Linked DNA regions of Notamacropus eugenii. The protein of the gene in region 4 interacts with the protein of the main gene of each other region in a pairwise test. Links are inferred from orthologs where the notes say so. Each region holds a gene or a part of one and is shown on either strand. Other genes may lie near its edges. The genes, in order: PRPF38A, TNP1, C1H1orf35 and SDCBP2.

Region 1 (7,861 bases), on a different chromosome or scaffold from region 4:
CAAGTTCTCTAATTACTCTATCCCTCCAACCTCTTACCATCTGTGTCCTTTCTACATACCCCAAGGTCAGGCTTTAGTGCCCTTTCTGGCTACTATCTAAAGCCCTTCAGTGGCTACCAAGTGCTTGGAGAAATGATAATGATAACAATGATAATTATAACAGCTAGTATTTACAGAGCACTGTGCTAAGTGCTATACAAATAAACTCTCCTATTCATTATCACCATTTTATAGTTAAAGAAACTAAGGCAGAAAGAGGTGAAGTGATTTGCCCAAAGTCACACAGCTAGGACCTGCATGAGGAAGGATTTCAGCCCAGGTCCTCTCCTGACTCCAGGCTCAGCATGCTCCTGAACTACAGATTCCACTAGTACTAAAGGCCTTCTGCTTCTAGCCCCAATCTACCTTTTTCAGCCGGACTTCACACTCTACCACCCCGCCCCACTACACTACTACCTGTTCTCTGCAGCCTGAAGCTGCTATGCTTTGAACCCTGACTCACTGGGGGAAACCTCTCCTGGCCTCAGTTTCTCCCACTGTAAAACAAAAAGGTCAAGCTAGATGCTTTCTGAGTCCCCTTCCAACTCTGACATTTTGGGATAACAGCTTGAAAAATTGTTCTGCTCAGGGGCATTGGCATGGGGGTCAGGAGTCAGAAGAGTGCTGCTAAAAACATGACACTCCTGGTATCTGGGCAGCGGCAGTGGGGTTGGTTTAGGCCGTGAGACACAGCAGTCAAAGGGACCTGGAGTTAGGAAGACCAGGGTTCTTCATTTATTAACTGAGAGATGACAGACAAGTGACAATCTCTCATCTCAATTTCCTCATCTATAAAATGGGGATAATCCTACCTCCAGCAGCTGCCTCCCAGGAGATGCTATGTAATACATTTAGCAAACTTTAAAATACCATTAAGTGGCAGTTATGATTACTATATTGTGAAGGGGCCCTTGTGACCTTTCCGATCACATCGGCGGACAATGTTATTATCACCATCTCTGCATATGGCCCTGCCCTAAAGGCCTGACCAGGCCCCAAGAAATGTTTTCTCCCTTCAACATACAAACACTTCCGGGCAAGTCATTCAAAATAAGATAATGTTACAGCTGGGGGAAGAACCTTAGAATATAAGATGTTAAACTTGGGAAGGATTTCAGTTCAGGGAAGAACTGGGAAGTACCAATGCAAACACACACTTACTCTGCCTTCTGAATCTGAAAGAGCTGCCTTGGCATTCATTCAAGAAGCAGTGACTGATTTCAAGCCATGTGCCAGGCACAAGGTACTAGGGAAGCAGAGGCAAAAATGAAGTAGTCCCTCATCTCTCTTTAAACACAATATGCCAGGCATGTAAAACAAAACTGAAACGTGCAGCTCTCAAAGAAAGGATTTCTTACCAAGGAAGGCAACATGTATCCATAGAAGCAAAAACTAAATACAAGGTAACTGTTGGAGAGAAGACGCTGGCAGCCGAGGAGGGAGGATCCAGAAACGGCTTTGTGTAGGAGGTGGCAGCTGAGCTGAGCTTTGAAAGAAAAGATGGATTCTGAGAGGTCAAAAACAGCAAGACCAGTCTGGCTGACCCACGGCATTTAAATGCCAGAATGTGTCTTTGGCCTTAGAAAAAGCAGGGACCCCCTGAAATGTACTGCGCAGGCGCAGCCCCACCTGTTTCAGCCAAATCCCTTCCCGGGTCTTGGGCAGCCTTCCAAGCCGCAACAAGGCTTTGTCAGTTTCGTTCAATGTTGCACCTTTGTAGCGACCTCACCCAGAGCTCTGCTCCCCGGGCCAGGGTCAAGGACAGCGACCAAAGGAGGATCAAGAGGCAACGCTCTGGGCAGAAGGGGCTGAGTGCCCTCTGCTCCGGGGACCCCACCAACACAACAACCTTGCTGACTTCCCTGCACACCCACTGCTCACCCCACTCTAAGTCCTCGAGGACGGGGGCGGCTCGGACTTCCTAGGCCTAGCATTAAGCACAGCGCTTAACAAATAAAAGCTTAATAGACGTTCGCTCGGCCACATCACCCACGGACAGGCAGCTCCGAGTCTGTCCTCCCCCACCCCGTTCTTGGCCGTGCCCGGCCGGGGCCAGGCACCAGGGACCCCGACGTTCTCCACTATGGTCCAAGCTAGCTCACCCTGGACGTGAACAGGAGCCGGCCGGGAGCAGAGGAGAATCTGGGGTGGGAGAGCCCGGGTTCAATCCTGCCTCGAACGCTTCCTACCTGCGTGCGGCTTTCCAAATATGAAAGAGGGGGCAGGAAGACACGGTCACTTAGTGAGTATCTACTCCGTGCTGCAGGTATGCTGGTGAGGAAGGTAAAAAGGCCTCCCGAAGCCCCTCTCTCAATCAGGCAAACATTTCCGACGCCTTCCCTAGTTCGGCTCGAGAGAAAGGGACTCAGAAACGCAAGGGACCGTTACAGTCCAAAAGTCAGGGTAGGCTACGAGCTCCAAGGGTTCTGTCTGAACTCCTCCCCGGCCGGGGAGCTCACATCCTCCCTGGGCGGCTCGAGACGCGCCGGGGAGATGTCCGGAGCCCCAGCCGCAGCCGCTCACCTGTGAGTCCAAAACACTCCTCCTTCCAGTACTTGGACTCGTAGATTCGGGTCCGGATGATCTTCTCCACCAGGTACTGCGGGTTGGTGCCGTGGATGCTGTGAGCATCCTTCACCGTCCGATTCGCCATCTTGGGAAGCCCTTGGCGCCGCCTCTGCAGCCCTTCCGGCGGGCACTTTCTGCGTCACTTCCGCACGAGCCAAGCCGGGGGAAGCGGGGGGGGGGGGGGGGGAAGCGGGGGCGAAAGCGTCTCGGCGCGGCCGATGACGTCACCGAGGCGGCCACTTTGAAACCGGGCACGCGCCGCGACCGCGACGCCTCTACCTTCCCAAACGCGGCTTCGTAATAATGACGTAACTAGAAACAAGAGCGGAGGGGGGAGACGTAGGGGGCGGAGCGCCTGGACGGCGAACGACCTTTTGAATCTGGGAGGGGTGGAAGAGGGAGGGGGAGAGGCGGAGACAAAAGTCCCGATCCGTACGCAGGAGGGAGGAGAAAGGGGGCGGGCCTTGCGTGACGCGAGGGGCGGGGCCACTCTTTTTTGGCGCGAATTTTTTTTTATTTCAAGCTTCTCTCGGGTGCTGGCGGTGGCCAGGAGGCGAGCAGCGCGCACGCGGAGCGGCGGAGGAAGCCGGAGGGTGAGCCTGGGGGGCCGGGGCCTCCGGGGTGGGGGGGAGCTGGGGGCGAGGCCCCCTCCTTTACACGCGGGGAAACTGAGGCTTGGGCGGCGGGCCGGGCTCGGAAGCGGGGGAGGGGGCTGGCCGAACTGGGGCGGGAAGGGGCCTCCCGTACTGCCCTGCCCCCTCCGGAGCCCGGAGCCCCCCACTCTATGGCGAGGAGCGATCTGCCCCACCCCCACCGCCTTCCTGGGGGCCTCAGGGGCCCGGGTGGGGGAGGGGCTGGTCCTTATCGCAGACCGCAGCTGCCCCGGGAGGCCCGTCTGGGGCCCGCCCTCGGGGTCACCTGAGCCTCCGCATCTGTCTGAGGGGGACGTGGCCCTGGGTCCTCCTCACCGCCCCCTCCCCCAGGGAATTAGGGGCGCCCCGAGCCTTCTCCCGAGCCACTGCCCTTCGCCCTGCGAAGTACCCTCCACTTCCCGGCCTGTGGTCTTGGTTGGATTTAGCGGGCATCCGCTGAGTGCCTGGCCTCGTGGAGATCCTGCCCGGTGGGGGGGTCGGGGTTAAAGGAGGGTTCCTGCCATTTCAGCCTGCTTCAGGCTGATCTTGCCAAGTCTGCGAGACCTTCCTCCCTCCCGTCCCCCTGCTGGGGATGCAGCTACTGTTTCTCCCCCATTTCATTTGAAACCCAGTTAGGGAGCCCTGAGCGCAGAAAGCCAAGGAACTTAGGGGCTTGTGGAAAAGAGCAGGCCCATCGTGGCCAGCAGGAAGCCCAGCCCTCGCTTTGCTGAAAGGATGGATGCCTTGGGGCACTAGATGGGGAAGAGATCTCTGCCAGGCCCTGGGACAGCTTCCTTCTGGCTAAACCTCTAAAAAGTCCAGGCTCCAGTATGGTAGGACAGCTTCTGGCCCAGTGCGGGAGCCTGGGCAAGTGGCTCAAACTTGCTGGCATCCAGGGTGGGGAGAAATGCCCCCTCAAGAGTTCCCCATGCTAGTCCAGGACATGCTCTCCACCCGAATCCTGCTTACTTCTGCACTCCCCACTCAGGACCAAAAGCCATGAGGAACAACTATTTCACAAGGCTCAAGGCCAAACGAAGTTATTCATGGCTCAACTGTGAATTCCGTGACAGGAAACTTCGTCACAATCTCTACAGGTAAGTGATTCAACTCAGCAGGTTCCCAGGCCATGGGTCTGCTTATTGGCACCCAGCCCCCTGAGGTGGGGCTTTCCTGCCATCATGATATTCTGGAGCCATTTAACAGTATTTAGGGTGTGGTCTCTGTGGGGCCTAGGCTTTTCACTGGCTGAGAAGAGTCCCAGCTTTTAGGAAGCGCCTCCTGTGTGCCAGGCACTGTGCTGAGCACTGGGGATACAAGGAAAGACCAAAGACAGTCCGTGCCCTCTAGGGGCTCAGTCTAATAGGGGACACAACCTGCCAACAGTGTGCAGATAGTGTATAGACAGATTGCATGGCGAGGGGGGTTCATCTCAGGAAGGACGCTAAGATGAGGCTCTTCCCAGGTCCTTTTTCTAAAGATGAGACTTAAGCTGAGATATGAAGAAGGCCAGGAGGAGGAAAGTTCTCTTTTTAAAAAACAAATTTGTATCTGTTTGGAGCGTATTTTTGGGGGGTGAGTGTGCACCATCCTTGCTGTTTGTTGTTCACCTCTCCAGACAGCAAGAGAGGCTGGGCCCTATTCCTGGTATGCCAGGAGAGGAGGGTCTTAGAGGCCAGCCTCTGTGATCTGGGGCCCCCCAGTCCACCTCTGCTCCTCTCCTCATCACCCTGGGCACACTTCCCTGGGAATCCTTTTCTGTTCTGGAGATTTGTTGAGTGGGAGGTAGATCTGTGAGGCTTGACTAGTGAGCTCCCTTATCTGGCCTGAGGGTCTTGGTGACTTGATTTCCCTGTACTCTGGGCCACTTGATCCCTGCATTTGCTTTGCAGAAGTATTTGTGTGACATCTCCAAGCAGCAATGTCAAAGTCCAGATCAATGTAGGGGACTTCATACTTGTGGAGTGCAATGATGATGATAACCCATATATCGCTAAGCTGATCAAGCTCTCCAGGGATGGTGAGTTCCCCTGGGAAATGCAGGGCAGGGGCAGGGCTCTGTCCCTAACACCAGGATATTGTAGCTGGGAGGGGCCAAGCCCACCAACTCCCCCGCAAGAGGAAGGCTTATAAACTAGGGGATAATGACTCCTGAGACTTGGTCTCTCGGTCCTTGAAAAGGGAGAGAAAAGACCACCAGGAGCTGGGGCTTAGAGTCAAGAAAAGGGGATGGGTTGGAAAGCAAAGAGCAAATAGAGAGGTTACCAGCTATATACATCTAGTATATTACAGGATGTACATAGGATTGTATTTGAAATGAAAGGCTTAGGCTAAGTAATTTATGAAGTCTTCTCCAGCTCTCATTGTTGTTGGTCAGTCGTGTCTGATGCTCTCATGACCGCATTTGGGATTTTCTTGACAAAGATAGTGGTTTGCCATTTCATTCTCCAGTTCATTTTACGGATGAGGAAACTGAGGCAAATGGGTGAAGTGACTTGCCCAGGGTTGCACAACTAGTGAGTATCTGAGGTTGGATCTGAATTCATGCAGATGGGTCTTCCCGACTCTAAGCCCAGCGCTGTCCATTGAGCCACCAAACTGCCCTTTTTCCAGCTCTAATAGTCTGTAGTCCAATAAGTTGACTGAAATGGTTTGATTGATTATAAGACTGCTGATCATTGAAAAGGGAGGACTGTAAAAAGGGAAAACAAGTCATTTACTTTTAATCAGCTGACTCAGTAGTCCAAAGTGGGCTAGATGGAGTCAGGAAGTCCTGACTTCAGATCTGGCCTCTGACAGTAACTCTGGGACCTGTTTCCTCATCTGTGTAATGGGGAGAAGAAATTGCTGTATGTGTCTAGACCGAGGAGAAAAGTTGAGGGCTGGATGAGTAAACTCAAGCAGTTATAGTCCTAGAAAAGAGGGAGGAGAGGAGGGGATAAGGCCAGCTGTGTCCCTCTTACCTTGTGGGGACATTCTCTGGGAGGACCTAGAATAAGGCAGGTAAGAGACAGAAAGCTAATGAAGGGAGCTGTTAAATAGCCATCAACCTGCAGGCGGTAAATGGCAGCACCAGGATGGGAAAGGGGCCTTTGGACATGAGTGGCTTTGGCAAAGGTCCCTTCCTGGAGGTGGAGGTGGTCCAGGAGAAAGTCAGGGGTAAGGAGCAGCCCCTGTGGGGGGACTACCAGGAGGACACAGGAGTAGAGGCGTGAAGGGAGAACAGGGGATGCTGAGAGTCAATCCAAGGGAAGCTTGGTCCCCAAGAAGAAGAATGGCTGAGGAGGGAAATGATTTTAAATGGAACAGTGTAGGCAGAATCCCCTAGGGGACCTGGAACGTCTTAGAGAATGGCCATGGCATTGGGAGGGGTGCCCACAAAACAGCCGCGTGAGATTTGTGAGAGCCTGACAGTAGTGAGCAGCTAGCAGCAGCAGGGTAAGTGCATCCCTTTGTTCTGGCTGAGGTGAGCCTTTTATGTCCTGACAGTGTTTGGTGGCTCTTGTTTTCTTTGAGGACTGGTCTCAATTGTTTCTGATCTTGGACTTCGGGTCATTTGCATGGCTTATTTAGACACCTATATGCCTGTGGTTGTACTAAACATCCTGTGGTGGTCACCCTGCCCAGACAGGCAGACTGGTGAAACTAGTGACCCTCTCTCAGAATCACCTTCTTAAGTGCCTAAAATATAGTTATTAAAATGTTTTTGAAAAACAAGGGCCCCAAGCTAAGACCCTTTGGTAGATGGCAGCTCTCTCCCATCTGACTTTTGAGGAAGTGAAGGTTTGGAGAGGTTTTGTGACTTCTACAGCAACCCACAAGGAATGATTGACTGAGCTGGGGCTCACCCCAAGGTTTTCTGACTCTTGAAGTGCTAGGTTATCAGAAGGAAGAATAGTTCCCCAAGGAGCCGTTGGCTCTGCCAGACATCACAAAGGGTGCCTGTGTTTCTCTTCTCTTCCTGCTCAGTCTCTTCATTAGAGTCTGAGGCTAACTCGCATGCTGTGGTCCAGTGGTTCATTCGCTTGAGTGAGATCTCCGTCAGCAAGCGCAAGCTGCTTGGCCGAGAGGCTGCCGAACAGGAGATCTTCTGGTACGATGACCCGCCGAAGGACATTCAGGTTGAGACCATCCTCGGTCCAGTTCAGGTGAGTAGTTCTCTAAGTTTTCCTCTCTGCCTCCCTTGTGTCCTGGAGAAGCTTGACCAGTGTTGTTGTGTTGCTCCCATCATCACTTGGGCCTCCTGGGAAATGTGAAAGATGGCGGAGTCATTGGACGTTACCGTGTGAGTTTGGCTTTGCCAAGTCACAGTGTGTGAGGTGGAGGGCAGTGTTAGTTTACAGATATGCACCTTGTGCTGTCCTAAGCTACCAGGCCTCAGGTGGGCTGAGCTGACCTGACCCTTGCTGCTCCTGGTATCCCAGCTAGTCGAAGGGAAGAAACCAGAAGAAAGGCTGGAGATCATTCAACCAGCCACTTGTGGTAGAGAGGATAGGGCTCTGTGAAAGGAGGGATGGGAGGGAGCCCTCACCCAACTGGGGCCAAGGATGCCTTTGTGAAGCTGCGAGACAAGTGGGGTCCTCAGTGGTTCTTCACGTGTCCTTTCAGGTCATGGGCTCCAT
Region 2 (5,723 bases), on a different chromosome or scaffold from region 4:
CTAGACAGATACCTCCAGGCCCTCTTAGGATCATATGTGGCCTCTCCAAACCATACCTAACTTATCACTGGCTTTCTCTATACTGTGGTACAGTTAGTTGAAGAAAGGAACAGGTCTGATCATTGGGCATTTGATCCTTCCTAGCCCCATGAGTCCAGACATTTTGTCCAACCTAAACACCCCTATTGACCGCACCCTTTGTTTCTGACTCACACACACACCCCCATTGGGCTTTCTGTCTACTCAAGTTTCTTGTTTTAGGGTTGAGGAGGGGTTATGCTCCCAGACTATGCAAAGGGGACTTTTCTTTTTCTTTGTTTTTTTTTTTTCCCAACAAGTTTCCTAGGCCTGGCTTTTTTCCCCCAGATGATCTCAGCTTCTCCTTGGCAAGATCAATCCATTGGGGGTAGGAGGGGTCATCATGGGGAAAGAAATATCATCCTGCCTCTGTAGCCATCAGAGAAAATGAATGCCTTTTAATCCTTCAAAATGAATTCCTTTGAGGATTTTTAGGAAGCAAAGCCTTTGGGAAGAGGAAAGTTTATTACTCCAAGTTAGGCTGGCCTTCTCCATTTAGAAAGAATGTCACCTAACCCCCAATATATGTAAAATTACTCCTCCCACCCCAACTCTTCATTCTCAATTTTAACTTGAAGAAGAGGGTGTGACAAAATCTATGACCAGGAATGCTTAGTCAAAAGGCTAATCAATTCTGATGACAGTCAAAGCTTTTCCCTTTTCCAATCCTGTTTCCAACTATGGCTGCACAAAGACAGAACAGGGGGTGGAAAAGGGAAAATGAAAGTTCTTTGTCATGTTTTCACATCCCCTATATGTATTATTAATCTGGGGGAACCAAACATTAATTCTCTGACAAAATATGAATGGTTCCATCCATGTCATAAAGATAGAACCCTGGTCTTGAGGAGAGCCGTGTTTTGTGAGCAAAACAATAGAGGAAAATGTGACATGTTTCTAAATAGCTTGAGAGAAACATGAATATTGAATACAAAAATCTCTCTGCCTTAACACATCTATGGAGGGAACAATCAATGGATTTTTTTCTCCTGAGAACCAGCTAATTTGGTTAACACAGTGCTAAGTACTGTGAGGGTGCCAGGGTGGAAAAATACAAATCATCAATTCTTCCCTTTAAGAAGTTGTATTCAAGACTGATGGCAAACACCAGTCTACAATACCTTCTTGAATCATCACCAAGAGAAGGGTCCTGGAGCAACATGGAGATTCTTGGAGAGTCTAGTTTTCAAGTTTGGAAAACAATTTATTGGGAGATGTTTTAGGAATAAGCTGAGAATGCCTAGTTATAGATGGGACTAGATGACCTCTGACTTCATTTCTAAGGATTAACCTTTCTTAAGCTTGAAGGACTCCTGGGGATGTGGGTGAGTTTTCTGGGTTTGTTTATTTAGAAATTGTCTGCTGTGTTATTAGTATGAGGAACTCTTAATGAGGAAATTACCTCCTCCAAAGCAATTGATATCTTCTCTCCCAGTACTGTATGGTCTTGGAAAGCTGTCTGAGAGCCCTGAAGGATACCTGTCTTTCCTAGAATAATGCAGCTTAGATCTATTTGATTCTCAGACCAGTTCTTTGGCCACTGTATTTTACCATCGTCTGCTTTCCAGTTATAAAATAGCAAAGAAGAAGAAAAATGATAGGAGGTGAGGAATGAGGAGTCAACATTTTTAAATCAAGATTTCCTTATCTAACCTTCAAGGCTTTTTATATCTGCTGGATCAATCTTATTTTATCATCATCATCATCTTCATCAATTTCCAACAGTTCTCCCTTTTGCACCTGTCATCCTCCTCACTTAATGTTATTATTCTTTCATTCAAAAGCCTTCATCTGATTCCAACTACCTATTAAATAAAATCCTGGCATCAAAGGTCCTCTATAATCTGTTTCCAATCTACCTTTCTGGTTTAACTTCACATAATCTACCCATAATCCAGTCCAACCGGACTACTCAAGTTCAAGAGCCACCTTGAACATATTCTTTCCCTGATTAATCCAGTCTAAGTTGATCTCTCTCATCTCTGAACTTGTAATACTAACTAAAATGGGTTTACATATATCTTTAAGATATGAACTCCCTTATCTAGCACTTGGTTTACTTATTCAGTATTAGCTACTATTATGTGCATGACACCCCTCTAGCCCTGGAGTACTGGAAATTTCTTTGTATTAAAAACAGTGATGTTTCCTGCTCTCAAAAAGTATTTACATTCTACAATGGAATGGAATAGGGTGGGAATTACTACATAAAATATAGAAAAATAGGTATCTATATAATATATAGATATATAATATAATATATATGATAGATATATCTATGTCTGTATGTACATATGTGTGTATGTACATGTATATATATGTACATATATAGTGTGTACATACACATAAATATATGCATGTGTGTATATACATACATATACATGTGTGTATGTAAACATAAATATACACACATGCACACATATATATGTATATGTAGGGTTGATGGAAGCAAAAAAAAAAATCCACGAATCTCTTTAGGAAAATTTGAAGGAATAGGAACTTTAATTTTATTCTGAAAACAACCAATAAGTTTATCAATCATCAACAAGTTACGCGCTGAGGACACCCTAGGTACTCTGGCACTTTGGGGGACACAGAAGAAATACATCACCTCTGGGAAGGAATAAAAGACATAGGCAAGAGCCCCAAATATTAGCATTGGCGCTGCCATTAGTATGTTCTTTATGACCTTGGTTGAGTTCCTTCACTTCGGTAGGTCTCAGCTTCCTCCTTTGTGAAATGAGAACATTATATTTCACAATCTCTGGGATCCCTTCAAACCCTGACACTTTGTGGTTCTGTGAGATGAGAACAGCCTCCATGAAACATATAGTGAAGCAGGGACCTTCTAAAAATCAAATGTAGGACTATTATCTTTGAAGGAATGGAGAGGGCCATTGATTGTTTATATCTAAATCTACGAAAGCAGTGTTTGAGAAGATCGACTTCTGTCACATCTAAAGGAAAGAGTTTGAAGGCAATATAATCAGTTCAGGACCTGGTTCTCCACCAGGACTGAGAAGAAAAGTTTTCAAAATCAGAAGAGTTTGAGAGTAATAATACAGACTGAGTATTATCCTTGAGGCAGTGGAGAACCATTGAGATTTATGCTGCAGTCAGTGAGCAGATGAAAGCAATATTTTAGATTAATCTGGCAGAAATATACAGGTCATATTAGAGAGAAGGCACACCTGGATGAACCAGGTTAACAAAGGCAGCCAGGAAGGAGCATTCTTGGCGTGATGGGAGACCATGAATCTGAACTAGGTGGGTGATAACTAGGTAGGAATTAGCTAGAGAAGGAAATGGCAAACCACTCCAGCATCTTTGCCAAAAAGACACCCAAATGGGGTCAAGAAGAGTCAGACATGACTGAAACAATTAAACAATGTAGGAATTAGGAAAAATAAGAAACTCTACTAAAGGAAACAGTTCAAAGACAATAATCAACAGGGAAGAGAGAGTTGATAAGAAGGAAGAGCTGTTCATTTTAGGACCTAAGTTAAAAATGAGAGGAAACATTAAAGTGGAAATTCTTTGTAAGGAAGTAGAGATCTTTTTTTTCATGTGTGTATGACCTGATCTTTTAAGATGAACTTTTTTTAATTTATAGTTTTCATCACTGTATTACAAAATAATTGATTTCCTTTGTAATTCTATGCATTTTTGCTTTACCTCATTAAAAACATTATTTAGATAGAAGGTTCATAGACTTCACTAGACTGCCAAAGATGTCATGATATGCAAAAAATGAAGAACCCTTTTTTTCAGGGATATAGGAAGGTCTTTCTAGCCTCTTTCTGGACCACATTCTACATGTATATCCCCCAATCAAAATATAAATAATTTCTCTTATGTCTCCTGGGAAATTAGGGACCTGCCAAATAATAAATAGTTGATTTGAGTTTATCTCTTATATGGAAATGACTTCCTCATTTGGAGAGGTCCTGAGTCATGATAATGAAAAAAAGCCCCACTCTTTTTCCCATATAAGGTCCAAAGCCCATAAAGGTAGGGTCTCACAATGGGGCCACACCCTCTTCCACCTCATAATGGCCAAAGGGTTAAATAGACCAGCCCCTGGCCTTTGGGCTTTTCAAAGCCCCCGGACTCTGGCAGCTAGCAACATGTCTACCAACAGGAGAATGAAAAGCCGAGGCGGGAGGAGAAACAAGAGCAGATCTCCTCACAAGGGGGTCAAAAGAGCTGGAGCTAAAAGGAAATACCGGAAGGCTGGGCTGAAGAGCAGAAAGAGAAGTGAGGAAGGTGAGTATGGGGGTGAGGAGGAAGAGGAGTTTCCTAGAACCCCCCAGAAAGGGACTTCAAAGGCCACATCTCTAAAGTCCACCCCTTAACCAATGCAGAAAAATCCCTTCTAATACACTTGGAGGCAGGGTGGTGTTAGTAGGAAGAGCCCCCCTGGACCCCTTGGGGGGGGGGGTCATGAGAACACCTCCCCATGAGTCCTGTCTCTGCCATTTACCAAGATGTGTGTGATCATGGAAAGGTAAGTTCTTACTTGTGTGCCTCAGTTTCCTCATCTGTAAATTGAAGGTATTCATAACTCTTGTAAAGGGGTTCTTGTGAGGGAAAAACGCTTTGTAAAATAAAGAGTTAACCTTATATAAAAGCTCCAGACAAGACTTTTGAGTTGTCATCAACTTGAATTTTTTCAGGTTTCAGATCTTTTAAATTCTCTCATGGTCCACCTGAATCTGACTTTGAGAGCTTTATAAATGTCTGTCCCACAAAAAAAAAAAAAATGTCCACAGTTGACATGACCAATAGTTGGAAGGTTATAATTAGGATGCAGCAGGTTTCAGGAACAAAAACCCACCCCTATCTCTGTCCTTCCTCACAGCTCACAGGACTTACCGTTCCAACTTGTGATTCCACCAAGAGCTCAGAGCTGCTGGACTTCTTAGCAACATCAGTCCGCAGTGAAAAAGAACAGGGGGTCTGCCAGGGCAACCAGAGGTGGTTCGATCAGAGAAGGAAAAAAAAGGAAACATATTGAATTTGGGAAAAATCCAGGCTTGAGGAAGTGAGGAAATGGATAAGAAGGCATTTTTCCCCCAACATCTCAATAAAATTTAGAAACCTGGTGTAAAAAAAAAAAAGTCATGACAATTTTTCGTTGCTCTGATGAACCTCTCTACGGGCTGGGGGGGAGGGATGGGGTTAATGTTTTATAGCCTTTTCAAAGTTTCCCAGTCCAAGCCCAGCCACCCCTAGGCATTATTGAAAGGAGGCAGTCAGGTAGTAACAGTAACATTAAGAGAAAAGGAATATTATAAAAATTCCAGTAGTAACAGGATGAAGCCACACTCCTAAAAAGTCTCCCTGCTCTTCAGATCAAGATCTCACATGTTGTGCTCCCAAGGCACAAGAAAAAAGTTTGAGAAAAGTGATAGATAGCTTTTTGCCATTGAACATACATGCAAAACACACAAATTTTACACGTGACCCCCACAGTTTAGTTTTCAAATACAACTTCATTCCTTTATAATGCTCGTGTAAATTTCCAAGGAGAAACGTCTTCCATCCTGAGAAGCCACAAGTCAACAAAACTTATATTCTCCCCTGTTTGTTGTGTTATAAATACTTGCTCAGGAGAGACTCTTTTCGCACCAGAATCCAAAGAG
Region 3 (7,288 bases), about 420 Mb from region 4:
TAATGTAATCTGAACATCTGATGAGCATGCCATCTACACTTTCCTCCAAATAGATCACCGCTTTTCTGACAGGCAGCGGGCTCATCAACCAGGAAGAATTATTATCAACAACATCCTCATCATCTCACGTTTCTACTATGCTTTACCAACAAGAGCCCCGTGAGTTAGATACTGCAAGGATTTTTTAGCCTAATTTCACAGGAAGAAGCTGAGGCTCAGAGAGGGTAAGATGACATTAGAATGCAAGTTCTTGGCCATTAGGGATTGTTTCATTATTTGTTATGTGCATTCCCCAGGGCAGGGTACAAGTAAGTGCTTAATTGTTCCTGCTCATGAACAGAAGCTTACTCAAACCCATGCCTTGCTCCAGTATCTCCCAAGCTGCTCTTTATTCTTCTCACTGTACCTGACTGCTTCAGTTCATTCTATCTTCTCACAAACAAAAGAGAAAACAAGAAGACCATTTCCCATATCTTTCTCCTGACATCAACTCTTCCTTCTCGAGGATAAATGACCCAGAGAGAAACTATGGACAAAGTTTAGGGCCCATCTCTCTGTAGATGGCCAGCTCCCTAGCTCTACCACCCCTGTAGCTCTACCATCCCCTTCTAGGGAAGAGGAAGGAGAGATGACTAGAGACACTCTCTGTTCAGCCTTCCCATAAGGGAAGAATTCTGAACTTCTAAGAGACTGAGTATCCAAGCTAGAATTGGAGGAAAGAACAGCCAAAGGTTGGGAAAGCAGCCTGATGCCTGAAAGAGTCTGCGATAGACAGCAGGAGATCTGCTCTCTGGTCCTGACTCTTCCATGGACTCAATATCACCTTGGCCAATTAATTACCTTTCCCTCTTTGGACCAGTATCACCTGTAAAAGGAGCGGGATGAGTGAGGTGGTGTCAAAAATTCCTTCCAGCTCTAACATGCTATAATTCTACATTCTGAGATCCATTCTAATGTCCCATGACATTAGACCTCTGTCGTCTCAAAGAGCTCCTTGTCCAATATGGGAAACAAAGTCTTTGCTAACATGGAGCACCCTGTGTGAAGACTGAGGCACTATCCCAACTGACCAGTTCTTCAATGTCCTCCTCTGATCTGAAATGCTAACAGTCACAGACTGGGTAGTATCAGAGACAGAAAGTGCCTTCTGAGCAGAGGACATCTGAACTGAAAGAGACCTAAGAGATCACCTGGCCCAACGCATATTTTACAGATGAGGAAACCAAGACTGAGGGAGAAATCACTCGTAGGATCACAGATTTAGAGCTGGAAATGACCTCAGGTCATCAAGTCTAATCCTCCTCATTTCTACAGAGGAGGAAACAAGTCCCGAGAGATAAAATGACTTGTACAGGTCACACACGTGGTGAATGGAAGAGCTGGGATTGAAACCCAAGTTCCACGACATTTTCTAGGGTCTGGAAGGGCTTCACTGACTTGTCCGAGGTCACAGGGAATCCAGGAGCTAGTAATGGAAAGGAGGCTGAATGGGGAGGAGGGTGGCCTGGGCTTGCATCCGGGCTCTGCCCGGGTCCAGCTCTGCGACCTCAGCCAAATCCAATGTTTTTTCTCCCAAAAATAAAAACATAAATGAAAAAACCCTTTCACAAAGTGACTGAGGAAAGCATTTTGCAAGCCTCAGCCATAACTCCCATTCATACAGCCCTGTGAAGTTTTCAAAGCACACGACACACCAAGTCCAGTTAGTGCGGGCGGCGGTCACAGAGCAGGGAGCTGGCCCCGGGCGGTCGGGGAGGTCTGGGCCGTGGGCGAGCCGGTAAAACTGGGATAACCACAGCACCTGCTGGTGTCCTGCAGATCCAGAGGTCAGCAATCTTTAAAGCGTTATGTCCATTATTAGACATCCCCTCTGTCCCCGATTCAGCCAGTCTTGGGCCTTGGCAGCCCATGGGCGGCCCCCTCCCTTCACACCTCGGACGTCACCCCTCAGTTCTCTCGCTGCATGCCTCCTCGGCTCACTCCACTCCCCGTTCCCCACACGTGCCGCTGCAGATCCCGCCCCCCTCACTCCACCTATTAGGCCTCAGATGCACTCCCTCAAGCTCCGCCCCAGACTCCCCTCCTATAAAGCCCGAGGCATGCCTCCTCAAGACCCCCCCCATCTCCTAACAGAGCCCAGGCACGCCCAAGTCCCTCCCCTAGCTTTCTCTCCTATCAGAGCCCAGGCACGCTCCCTTAAGTCCCACCCCTAGCCTTCTCTCCTATCAGACTCCAAGGCACGCTATCTCAAACCCCACCCCTCTCCTATCAGGCTCTAGACGCGCTCTTGCAAGTCTCACTTCCACCTCTCAGGCCCCAAACGCACTCCCGCAAACCCCGCCCTCACCCTCCTCTCCTATCAGGTTCCAGGCACGCTCCCTCAAGTCCCGCCCCCACCCTTCTCCTATCAGGATGCAGGCATGCTTCTTCAAGTCCCGCCCCTATCCACTCTCCTATCAGGCTCCAGGTACGCTCCTTCAAGTCCCGCCCCCAGCCCTCTCTCCTATCAGGCTCCAGGTACGCTCCCTCAAATCTTACCCCTTTCCTATCAGGCTCTAGACGTGCTTTTGCAAGCCCTGCTCCCGCCTTTCAGGCCCCAGGCGCATTCCCGCAAGCCCCGCCCCCACACTACACTCCTATCAGGCCCCAGGCGCGCTCCCGCAAGCCCCACCCTGCCCCCAACCCCCTCCTCTCGGGCCCCCCAGGAGGGCTCCTGCAGGCTCCGCCCCTAACCCCCCTCAGGCCATGGCACCCCCCCCCCCCACACACACACCTCGAGTTCGTCCCTTCAGCTCTTCAGGACCAGGGACCCCAGCGTGGCCCGTGGCCCGTCCGGCTCCAGACCCTCTTGGACCGCAGGCTCCTCGACCCAGGCCCAGCTTGGCTCACCAAGTTTCGCAGTCTGCCGGGAGGCTCTTCCGCCGCGGCACAATAAGGGGGGGGGGGGAACAGGCCACAGCGGAGCGGGCACAGGAGAACGCCCGCCGTTACAGCCCCAGCCGGAGTGGGCGGAGCCGCGGCCGGAAGGCCCGCCTTCCCCCGCCCCTCTCTTTCCTCGATCCTCTTTCCCGCGGGGGCGGGGATGGAGAAGGAGTTGGCAAGGTCCTGCGGTTCCGTCGGTCACCGCCGGGAGGCGCTGCGGGGCCGGGCCTCGCAGCCTACAGAGGGCGCTTTCACGCCTCGCCGCCTCGGCTCCGCGCCACGTTCACGGGCAGTCCGAGCAGGCCTGCCTCCTTCCCGTTCTTCAGAGGGGGAACTGAGGCGGAGGCCCTTGAGCGCCGCCTTCCCGGGGACCGCCCAGGCGGGGGGCGGGGACCGCCCAGGCCAAGGGGGGGGCGGGGGGCGGGGACCGCCCAGGCCAAGGGGGGGGCGGGGGGCGGGGACCGCCCAGGCCAAGGGGGGGGCGGGGGGCGGGGACCGCCCAGGCCGGGGGGCGGGGACCGCCCAGGCTGGGGGGGGCGGGGGGCCGGGGACCGCCCAGGCGGGGGGCGGGGACCGCCCAGGCTGGGGGGGGGGGCCGGGGGGCGGGGACCCGCTCAGGCTGGGGGGGGGCGGGGGGCCGGGGACCGCCCAGGCTGGGGGGGGCGGGGAGCGGGGGGCCGGGGGCCGGGGACCGCCCAGGCCGGGGCGGGGGGGGGGTAGAGGGCGGGGGGCGGGGACCGCCCAGGCTGGGGGGGCCGGGGGGCGGGGACCCGCTCAGGCTGGGGGGGGCGGGGGGCGGGGGGCCGGGGACCGCCCAGGCTGGGGGGCCGAGGGGCGGGGACCCGCTCAGGCCGGGGGGCGGGGGGCCGGGGACCGCCCAGGCTGGGGGGGCCGGGGGGCGGGGACCCGCTCAGGCGGGGGGGCCGAGGGGCGGGGACCAGCCCGGCCTCGTCCTCCAGCCCGACTCCTGGAGGAGCGCCGCTCACACCTGCTTCATATGGCAGCCTCTCTTTGCGCCCTGGCTTCCCCCCTCCTCGGTGCCAAGGCCGGGGCACCTCCTCCGTCCGCGGCGGGTCTCCTCCCAGGGGCTCCACGGCCCCTCGAGGCACTGTGTGGGGCTGGGGATGCGGCGCCTTCGTGCACACGAGGACTCCTGGAGCTAACCTGGAAGGGCACTAGGGAATGAGGCACAGCCAGGGCAAAGACCTGGAGATGGGAGAAACAGGAAGATCAGTTTGGCTGGAAAGGTAAGCTGGGGTCTGGGGGTGAAGGCCTTCGCAGTGTCGGATCCCACGGGCAGTAGGGAGCTGTGGGGAGGACTCCGCGCAAGGAGGTGGCGAGGGCCTCGAGGCCACCTGTGGACCTCCAGGTCCTCGAGTGCTGCCCTGCCATTGGAGCCACCTTCATAGAACAAATCCTTCTGTAAAACTTGGACTCGGTCAAAGGGCTGCACCCGAGGACCTAGAACACGTGGCCTCGAGGCCACCCCTGGGGAGAGGCTTGAGGCAAAGGCCAGTTGGAAGGCTGTGTTTGAGATCTGATTAGATATGGGGGGTTGCCAACCTGGGTGACTGGCAGAATGACGGTGCCCTGCACAGAAGTGGCGGGGGATGGAGGGTATAGGATAACGTGGTCCAACTGGAGACTCCTGAGGAGGAGCCGGCGGTGCAGCTGGGCAAAGGTCCAAGGGCTGGAGACATGGTTCATGTGTTTAACCTGTGGGCACTAAGGGTATCTAAGGGTATCACAGGGAGAGCATGTAAAGAGTGAAGACTCAGGACAGAATTCTGGCAGGCCAGGGGCACAGGGGAGAATCAGGAAGATGGAAGAGGGGGGACAGTATTCAGGAGGAAAGGGTGGTCTGTAGTGATAAATGCTAAAGGGGTGAAACAAGTGAGATATGAGGGAAAAGCACTAGATTTGTCGATTACAAGATGATCAGTCACTTTGGGAAGGGCAGTTATGGTTCCCATACAAAGAAACTGGGCTGGACAAGGCTAAGGATCCCCTCACTGGTTCCCTTGAATGTGGTCCTTTTGTCACAAATTTAGAATCTGAGGCCACAGAGCCACCTGTTCTCTGCTTTTTGTTTCATTTTTTTAATTAATTATTTTCAGTTTTCAACACTCACTCCTTAAGATTTTGAGTTCCAAATTTTCTCCTCCCTCCTCCCCCTATCCCAAGATGGTGCGCAGTCTGATACAGGCTCCCCATATACATTCCTATTAAACATATTTTCACATTGATCATGTTGTAAAGAAGGACTAGAACCAATAATTGGGAACCACGTGAAAGAAGAAACAAAAAGAGAGTGCACAGCCTGCTTCGATCTGCATTCAGACTCCACAGTTCTTTCTCGGATGTGGTGGCATTTTCCATCAGGAGTCTTGGATCCCTGCACTGTTGAGAAGAGCCAAGTCTGTCAACAGTGGTCATCGAACAACACTGCTGTTCCTGTGCCCAGCGTTCTCCTGGGTCAGTTTGCTTCACTCTGCATCAGTTCATGCAAGTCCAGGTTTTCCTGAAATCCGCCTGTTCATCATTTCTTATGGAACAATAATATTCTATTACGTTCAGATACCACAGCTTGTTCAGACATTCCCCAATTGATGGGCATCCCCTCAATTTCCAATTTTTGCCACCACAAAAAGAGCTGCTATAAATATTTTTGTACACGTGACTCCTTTTCCCATTTTTGTAATCTCTTTGGAACAGAGATCTAGAAATGGTATTGTGGGTCAAAGGGTATGCATTTTTGTGTCCCTTTGGGCACAGTTCCAAACTGCTCTCCAGAATGGTTGGATCAGCTCACAGTTCCACCAACAATGCATTAGTGTTCCGATTTTCCCTCATCTTCTCTAACATTTATCACCTTCCTGTTTTGTCACGTTAGCCAATCTGATAGGTGTAGTGTGGTACCTCAGAGATGTTTTGATTTGCATCTCTCCAGTCAATAGTGATTTACAGCATTTTTTCATGACTATAGAGAGCTTTAATTTCTTTCTCTGAAAACTTTGACCATTTATCAACGAGGGAATGACTTGTATTCTTATAAATTTGACTCAATTCTCTATATATTTTAGAAATGAGGCCTTTATCAAAGACATTGTAAACATTGTTTCCCATTTTCTGCTTCCCTTCTAATCTTGGTTGCATTGGCTTTGTGCACTTTTTGGTTCATTTGAAGCATGGGATTTCTGACATGGAAGGCAGTGTAGGCTAGTGCTAGATTTAGAAGTAGTTAACTTAGGTTTAAATCCCTGCTGCTGCTTACTCCCTTCTGGTCTGTGTGACACAGACTCTCTGGGACTTGGTTTCCTCATCTCCAGTGATGAGATTGGTCTAGATCAGGTTTTAAACACACTCTAGGAGGCACAACACTCCCAACAGAGCACTGTCTGAACGGGATCAAAATGTAATTGGGAAGATGTTTAATCAAATAAATAAAAATACAATAGAACACAGATAATGTTGGTGTGTGACTTTCTAAGTTAATGTAAAGATCTTCAGAGATCCTTATGTACAACTTCATGGCTCCCATTTCTACTTGAGTTGGAGACCATTAACATTCCTTCTAGCTCTCAATCAATGATCCAGTGATAAATCGATCAGAAAATGTTGACTGGAAAACAAGTACTCTTTGGCTGTGAGCGCATGCATGACCCGACAGGAAGCCCTTCACACCCCTCCAGGTCAGTCAGTGTGGCCTCCATGGGTGTTGCCAGTCCCAGAACAAGCCATGCTCGTTCTTGTTTGCTTCTGTGCTGCTCCTCCCTGTGATCTCTTCCCTCCCCTTTTTAAAAAATCATTGACAATCTTTATTTTTGAATGAATGAATGCAAAAACATTTATTAAGTACTTGCTATGTGCAAACACGGTGCTAAAAGCTGGAGATAGAAATACAAAAAGGAGCTTATTTCTAATGGGAGAGCCAATACGCATAAGAGGGTATGGTGGCTAAGGATGGAATTTTGATCTGGAAGGTAGAAGAGATGATGAGTGGAGAGAAAGGGGGGTCATTGACACACTTTCTAATAGGAATGGTAGTACTGATTATGATTCCAGAGCTGGAAGGAGGGAGTGAGGGAGGCAGGGTGGGTTGCTACAGTGTAAAGTGAAACAAGGAGGGATATAATGAAGCATTCACCGGTCAGAACAGTGGGGCCACAGGACAAGAGTATGGTTTCTGGCCCAGTTTGGAGGCTGGCAGGGCTGATGGCAAGATGGCCAGGGTGTTCTCAACTTTCCCCACTGATTGAATCCATCCCTGAAGTCAGTCATTAAACACTTATTAAGTACCTATTATGTGCCAAGCAGTAGGGGTACAGAAAGAGGCAAAAGACAGTCTTTGTTTTTGAGGAGTTCA
Region 4 (7,274 bases):
AGTCAGCCAGCAAATTAGTGACTCCTGACTGCCAGTCCAGAGCTCTTTCTACCACACCCTCTATAAGCACCTGCTAATGAAAGGCATTTCCCAGAGATACCGAGCTACTGGGTCCTTTGAGGTTAAGTAAAACCAAGGAATTTAGCACACAGTAGCTGCTTTGAATACCATTCAGGGGCTGGGAGAGGTGGGAGCATTCAGGAAGGTTGGAGCTTGGAGGAAATGTTGGTATGACTGAAAAAAAATTCCTTTAAAGAGTCTCCACAATGTACTCCTGAATTCGAAGCTGGAAGGCCCTCAGATCATCTATTCAAAAGTCTGAAACAGGAAGGACCTTGCTCATAGTAAAATTCATAGCAGAGATTCTAATATCCTTGGAATCTAGAATTCCCAAATCCCTCAGATATAAAAGCTACTTGCAGATTGGGCCCTCTAATTCACTTCTCTTTGAACTCTCTTTCTCTCTCATTTCCTATCCCCCCAACTCCATATCCAATCTGTTGCCATGGCAACAGTTCTCTCTCAATGCCCCCTTCTTTCCTCTGACACTGCCCCCAGCCTGGTGCTGGCCCTCCTCACCACACACCCGGATTATTGAAGAAGGCTTATGGCTGATTTCCCTTCCACAAGTCTCTCCCTACTCAGCTGTCAAAGAGATCTTCCCAAACTGCAGGTCTAACCAGATTACCAGGTCACCCTGTTACGCGATATCCTTCAATGGCTCCCTATCATCTCCAAGATCAACTGTAAAATTCTGTTTGGTGTTCAAAGCCTTTCACAACTAGTCTCCTCTCCCCCAACCTTTCCAGAAGACTTATACCTTACACCTTACCTTCCCACATACTCTGAGATCCAGCAACACTGGCTTCCTTGTTATTCTTCTAACCGGAAACTTCATCTCCCTGTTGACTCAGTCTAGATTGTTTTTGTTTCAGTCATGTCTGACTCTCTGTGACCCCATTTGGGTTTTTTTTGGCAAAGTGGTTTTCCATTTCCATCTCTAGCTCATTTTACAGATGAGAAAACTGAGGTAAATAGAGTTAAGTGAGTTGCCCCCCGTCACAAAGCTAGTAAATGTCTAAGGCCAAAATTGAATTCAGCTCTTCTTGACTCCAGGTCCAGTGCTCTATCCACAGAGCCACCTTGCTGTCCTTCATCTCCTACTCTGGTCATTTTTACTGGCTAAGGTGTTGGCTATGGAAGGGGGATGGGGATGTCAGAAGAAGCCTAATTAAATGGAGAGTTATAGGAGAAGTTGTGACAAGGTCATGTGTGTATTCATCATCATCCCTGAAACCACATGAATGGGAAAAAGACAGAGACAGAGAGATATGGGTAGAGGGTAGCACAATAGAGACACAGAATGAGACGGAGGCAGAGGTATTCCTAGGTAGGAAACAACTGGTTTCTCAAAATGAAATGAGATTTGAAAAAAAAAAAAGGGAAAAAAAGCTCACCAGGGTTTGTTTATCGTCATCTTGATTAAAATGTTAACAAAAAAAATTCCATTATCAAAAAAAAGCCCATAGCTCCAGATTGTATGAGGGTGGGGAAAGATCCCTGGCCAGAGTCAGGAACCCTGGCTTCTGGTCCTCATTATGTCACTGATTCTGGATGACCTTCCTTTTTCTGAACCTCAGTGCTGTCATCTGCAAAATGGGGGGGACTGGGCTACATGAGCCTCCAGCTTTGACTTTCGGGGAATCCTTTTCTTTTTTTCAAATGAAATAGAGCCTTCTCACACAGCGGGGAGAAACGTCACAGGCAAGGGGGAGCCACAGGAAACAGGCTGCTCTGGGCCTTTGGAGAGGTGAGGGGGTGGAGGCAGTGGATTCCAAGCAGCTCTAGCAGAGAGGAAAACCCATTAGAGGACATCGGAGTGCCGGCAGAGAAGCGCGGGCCATTTGGGGCTAATGGAAAGAGGTCTTGGCTCCAGCCAGCCCTTTGCTTCCACTGGGGCCCCTGGCCCCGACGCCTTCAAGGCAAAGTACCCTGTTCTGGAGCCAGGGAAGCAGAACACAGCGAAGAAACAGACGGTATCAGTGCCCACTCTCACCACGTTATTAATGTTTAATCCCCAGGATTCACATTTCATCCTGGCGCTGGAGGCTGGCTAGCTGCCATTCAGAGCCCCTTTACTACATTACCTCCGGAATCCTCACCCCCAGGAGGGGAGCACTGAGGCAGGATTGAGTGTACTGGATGGTGGGAGGCGGAGAGACAAAAAAGAAAAAGAACCAATGGGTCAGAGGAGAATTCGCAGAGAGGACCACAGCGCAGCTCTGTCCTTCGCGGGGAGAAGGGGGTGCGCTGTGGGCACCCTAAGGAGACCTGATCAAATAATGCCAGAGAGGGGGAGGGGAGAGAGAGGCAGCAAAGAGAGCAAAAAGAAAGGGGCAGGGGAGGGAGAGGAAATGGGCGGAGGAAAGAGAGCAAGAGGAATGGGGAGATAGGAAAAGGGGGAGGGAGAGCAGAAGGAAATGGGGAGACAGCAAGAGGAATGGGGAAGGGCATGAGTAAAAGGAGAGATAGAGGAAGGAGAGCAGGAGATATAAAAAGGAGAAAAGAAGGGGAAGCTGAGTGAAAAGAGGAAGGAGGAGGAGGGAGAGGAGAAAAAAGGAGGATGGAGAGGGAGAACTGGAGAAAAAGAGGGGAGGGAGAAAGGAGAGGGAGATCAGGGGAAAACTAAGAAAGGAAAGAACGAGAATGGGAGAAGGGAGAAAGGGAAGGAGAGACAAAAGAGGGGAAGAGAAAAAGGAAAGAAGTCAGATAAGAGGAAAAAAAGAGGAGGAGGGAGAAAAGAAAAGGAGACCAAGAGGAGGAAAAAAAAGGGAAGGTTCTTCAGCCATCAAATCACCCTTTCAGTCAAAGTTAAGCAACTTGCTGTTGGTGGGTCTTTAAATGACCAGAGTTTTCCTAAGGGTGCTTACCTGAAGACTCGAGGCTGGCACTAGTCTACTCCTCTGCTCTCCTGTTCCCAGGAAGGTCTGTCCTCCTCTCAGGAAGTCTCTACGCTTTATTTTTCCAGCTGAAGTTCCTCCTGGATGCTTGCCCTCAGTTGGGAGGGGCTGGCCTGGCTCTACCCACAGCTGATTTATGACTTGCTCTGGGGAGGGGCCCTTGGATGCCACAGGTAAAGGCTAGTTGTCAAATCACTTTCTGAATGATGTTCCAATTTTAACTCTCAGGGGTGTAATGAGATTAGATCTAATCTTGGAGTACAGGATAGGCAAAGGGGAGATGGGATTGCTTTGAGTTGTGTAGTCTAGGGCAAGACATAGCTTCTGTTTATCAGTTTCCTTCTCTGTAAAATCATAAAATAGAATAAAAGATCTTTAAGGTTCTTTCCAGCTCTCAGTATGTATTCTGTATTTTGTTTTGAGATCTCATCTTTTCCAAGAGCTCAGAATTTAGAATGGATCAAACTGGAATTTGGTCAGTAAAATGTCCCTCTTTTCCTCTTCATGATGTTGACTTCTGTCTTACTCACTCAGAGCATGGTATAGGACTTCATTGGAAATGTCAAAGTTCAAGGACCTGGGCACACCCATTGATGGATCACTAGCTGGCTGACGTAAGGAAGGGACAAGCCCATGTTAGATATGAATAGCTGAGCTACCTGTCACATAGGACATTGGCCAATTCAAAAACTAAGTGACCATTGTGGTGATGAAATTTATACCTCAGGAACCATGAAGGTCCTATTGAGTGTGGACATCAGTAATTTTAATTCAACAAGTATTTGATAAAGTCCTCCTTGGGGGCCTAACACTGTGGGACAGACATGGGAAGGAGAAGCTTGTCTTAATGAGCATCCTGTCTTCTTGTTGAGGAGTTGACAACTTAGACACAAAATAATTACAGAAAAATATAAGCCATACATAAGCTAGGTTGAACCCCCTTCATAATGAAGAAATTGGACTAGAAGAAGGTCTTTAAGGTTCTTCCCAACTTTGATGCTCTGTAGCTTAGGTTCTAAAGGCCCCTTTAACTCTGCTGTTCTAGGCTCTTCATTTCCTCACCTCTGCTTCTGAGAATACCGAGCTTCCTTCAAAGCTTATGTGAGGCCTTTCATGATCTGCTTGACTGTTAGTGTCTTTGCTTCCTCCACAAATTATGTTGTATTTATGAGCTGTAAAGACACACATACATCTCTTGTGTATAATATATATATATACACACACACATATATGTGTGTGCATGCATATATAGGCTTATATACATACATGTTTATATAGACATATATGGGAATGTATAATATTGTATATGTGTTTTAGCATGTGTATATTATATATGTATGTGTATGTGTGTAGAGATAGATAGATAATCTCCCTGATGGAATAAAAGGTCTTAGAAGGTAGGGACTGTCTCATTTTTATTATTTCATCTCCAGGGTTACCACAGTGCCTGGCAGCAGTGGGTATTATAAAAAATGCTTACTGTTTAATTAATGATTCATTTCTAAATTGTATATCATAGAATCCTGGCCTTATCCCTTAGTTGAGGTCTCCTCTGATAAGCAAAAGTGGAAAATTAAGACAACTATCTTTATTATTTGAACACGCAGAGTGCAATGCAGTAGAAGACACTGAGATGGGAGCCAGGAGACCAGGTTTCTGGTTCTGACTGTACTATAAACTTTCTGTATGTATTTGGCCAAAGCAACTTCCCTCCTCTGGGCTTCTATTTCCTTCTGGTTCTAACATTCAATTAATCTAATAAATAAGCCCTCTATCCTCAGTTATCTCAGGTCAATGCAATCCCCACTGTCCTATGTATCATGTCCCAGATAAAATCCGTGAGAGGAAGGACTTTGTCTCATCTCATCTAAATTTTGTACCTCCCGATTTCCTGGCACAGTATTCTGAGTCGAAGTGCTAAATAAATGTTTGTTGAGTGAGTCTGGTTGTGTCAGTGAGAAGATCAAGGCAGACACAAGATGTTAGGACTAGTTATCCAAATTTTTGATCTCTGCTTTGTGATGACTGTGGGGATGTGACCGTGAGCAGGTGAATATGACTGATGCCAGTTATTGATTTTTGGCTTGAACCTGGCTTTATACTGCCCAGTCAAGTAATGGTAAATCTTTATTGGGTACCAAATGTGTGTAAAGTCCTATATTGGGTCTTATAGGGAACACAAGAGAAAGAGGAAATATATTCCTGCTCCTATCTAAACTCAAGTTGAAGAGAACTTATAGTCTTAGTAAGGAAATATGACATACTCTGTGGAGTCATAAAGCCTTAGTCCAACCGCCTCGTTTTTTGGAGGAGAAAATGGACAGAGAGGGGGAAGTGACTTACCTAGAGTGAGTTAGTGACAGAGGTAGACCTAGAAACCAAGTGTCCCCTTGCTAGACCAGGACTTTTCCATTGAAACAGGTTATAATAATTCAAGGCAGTCTCTGCTCCAGTAAATAATGAGGGACACAGGCAGTCAGGGCTGTAGGAACTCAGAGGAGAGAAATCCCCAAGGTCTGGAGTAACTGAGGGAGGCACGGCATAGTCACTTACACTGGAGGGGTAGGAGAGAACCTGAGAGTAGACAAGATAAAGCATGAGCCTTCAATGAACATTTCATTGGCTACTCGTTGCCTGCCAAGTAAAATGCCTTAGCCTGCCATTCAATCTGATTTTATATTTTTATGTATATGTGTATGTATTTTTATGTATGTACATGTATATATGTATATTTACGTGTCTAATATATACTTTGCACATTATATTTATATGTTACATAATATTTATATTATTAATTTTATATTTATGTTATATTTATAATTATGTAAGTATATTACGTTATTTATATGTTTTTATATAATACATGGTTATATTTTTTTACATATATTATATATCTAATTTTTATTTTGAGTCCATATGCCCCAATGTTCCCCCTCAGACATTCTATACTCTCAACAAATTCTGTTTCTTGCCATACCCCAAATATGCCCTATTTCTGGAATGTACCTTTTCTTTTCAACTCTGTTGTTAATTGACTGATTGATTGTTGATGTCCTATGCATCATTCAAGGCCCAGTTTAAATGCCACTTCCTCAAGAAAGCCTTTACCTACACTGTTCCATGATCAGTGTGCAGGTAGTATGTTCACACCCTCTGTGCTTAGTCACAGGGATTTTATTGGGACTTAACCTAAAAATCTGGAGTGAGTCAGAGTCAAAGCCAGAAGTAGAACCAGGGAGATCTGATGTCCCACGGTCCCTTGCATCCCACTCAACCTCCAACCAGAGCAAACTCCCAAATGACTGAGTCTAAACTCATCTCTAAAAGAAACAATTGAGCTATATCTGATCACATAGTACCTACTGATAATGACCCAGTTTCAGCCAAATTCATCCCCAGGGCAGCGTGGTATAATGGAAAGAACATCTAAGGAGGAGTCAAGAAACCTAGGAGTTAATTCTAATGCCGCTGCTAACTCACTGTGTCATCTTGGGCAAGTCATTTGGCTTCTCAAAATGGGATAGTTAACATATGAAAGAATGTTCCAAATCACTAATGGTAAGAGAAATTCAGACAGCTCTACCTTATGCCCAAGAAGTTGACAAAAGAGAATAGGGCAGCTAGGTGGCGCCATAGTGCACAGAGTGCTGGACCTGGAGTTAAGAAGACTCATCTTCCTGAGTTCAAATCCAGCCTCAGACACTTACTAGTTGTGTGACCCTGGGTAAGTTACTTAACCCTGTTTGCCTCAGTTTCCTCATCTGTAAAATGAGCTGGAGAAGGAAATGACAAACCGCACCAGTATCTTTGCCAAGAAAATCCCAAATGAGATCACAACTGAATTGACAGAACAAGGGGAATAGTCAATATTGCAGAGATTGTGGAAACACAGACACACTAAAGCATTGTTGGTTGAACTGTGAAATGGGGCAACCAACTTGCAAAGCAATTTGGAATTAGGTAAATAAAGTGGCTAAAATGCCCAAACTCTTTGACCAAGAGATTCTACTGCTAGGCATATACGTGGAGGTCAATAACAACATGAAAGACTTAGGTGCACCAAAATATTTATAACATCACCTTTTGCGGAAGCAAATAACTGGAAACAAAGTAGAAGCTCATCATTAGAACATGCATTCCTGAGCCAAATGGTGGCTCATGAACGGAATGGAATGCTATTGTACATATAAAGAAATGATGCATGTGATGAATACGAAGAAGCCTAGACTGACATTAACCAATGCAAAGTAAAGACAGCCAGAAAAGCAATATACAAGACAACTACAATGTTGTGAATGGCAAGAACTGTCAAGA

What was found.
Region 1: the proteins of SDCBP2 (region 4) and PRPF38A interact in binary tests that used the Homo sapiens proteins (3 or more experiments, as listed by UniProt). The two-hybrid records come from large-scale screens. The link is inferred for Notamacropus eugenii from reciprocal best matches to the Homo sapiens genes SDCBP2 and PRPF38A.
Region 2: the proteins of SDCBP2 (region 4) and TNP1 interact in binary tests that used the Homo sapiens proteins (3 or more experiments, as listed by UniProt). The two-hybrid records come from large-scale screens. The link is inferred for Notamacropus eugenii from reciprocal best matches to the Homo sapiens genes SDCBP2 and TNP1.
Region 3: the proteins of SDCBP2 (region 4) and C1H1orf35 interact in binary tests that used the Homo sapiens proteins (3 or more experiments, as listed by UniProt). The two-hybrid records come from large-scale screens. The link is inferred for Notamacropus eugenii from reciprocal best matches to the Homo sapiens genes SDCBP2 and C1orf35.

The regions. Positions count from the first base shown.
Region 1 is NC_092873.1:512,530,494-512,538,354, reverse strand, and holds the start of PRPF38A (pre-mRNA-splicing factor 38A), read right to left. Parts: upstream 3,026-7,861; 5' UTR 2,693-3,025; coding exon 2,563-2,692; exon of another isoform or gene 2,229-2,562; intron 1,526-2,228; exon of another isoform or gene 1,398-1,525; intron 1-1,397. UniProt on the Homo sapiens protein: Involved in pre-mRNA splicing as a component of the spliceosome.
Region 2 is NC_092877.1:315,186,298-315,192,020, reverse strand, and holds TNP1 (spermatid nuclear transition protein 1), read left to right. Parts: upstream 1-4,160; 5' UTR 4,161-4,205; coding exon 4,206-4,344; intron 4,345-4,939; coding exon 4,940-4,968; 3' UTR 4,969-5,198; downstream 5,199-5,723. UniProt on the Homo sapiens protein: Plays a key role in the replacement of histones to protamine in the elongating spermatids of mammals.
Region 3 is NC_092872.1:9,916,922-9,924,209, reverse strand, and holds the start of C1H1orf35 (multiple myeloma tumor-associated protein 2), read right to left. Parts: upstream 3,011-7,288; 5' UTR 2,774-3,010; intron 1-2,773.
Region 4 is NC_092872.1:432,994,934-433,002,207, forward strand, and holds the start of SDCBP2 (syntenin-2), read right to left. Parts: upstream 3,018-7,274; 5' UTR 2,931-3,017; intron 1-2,930.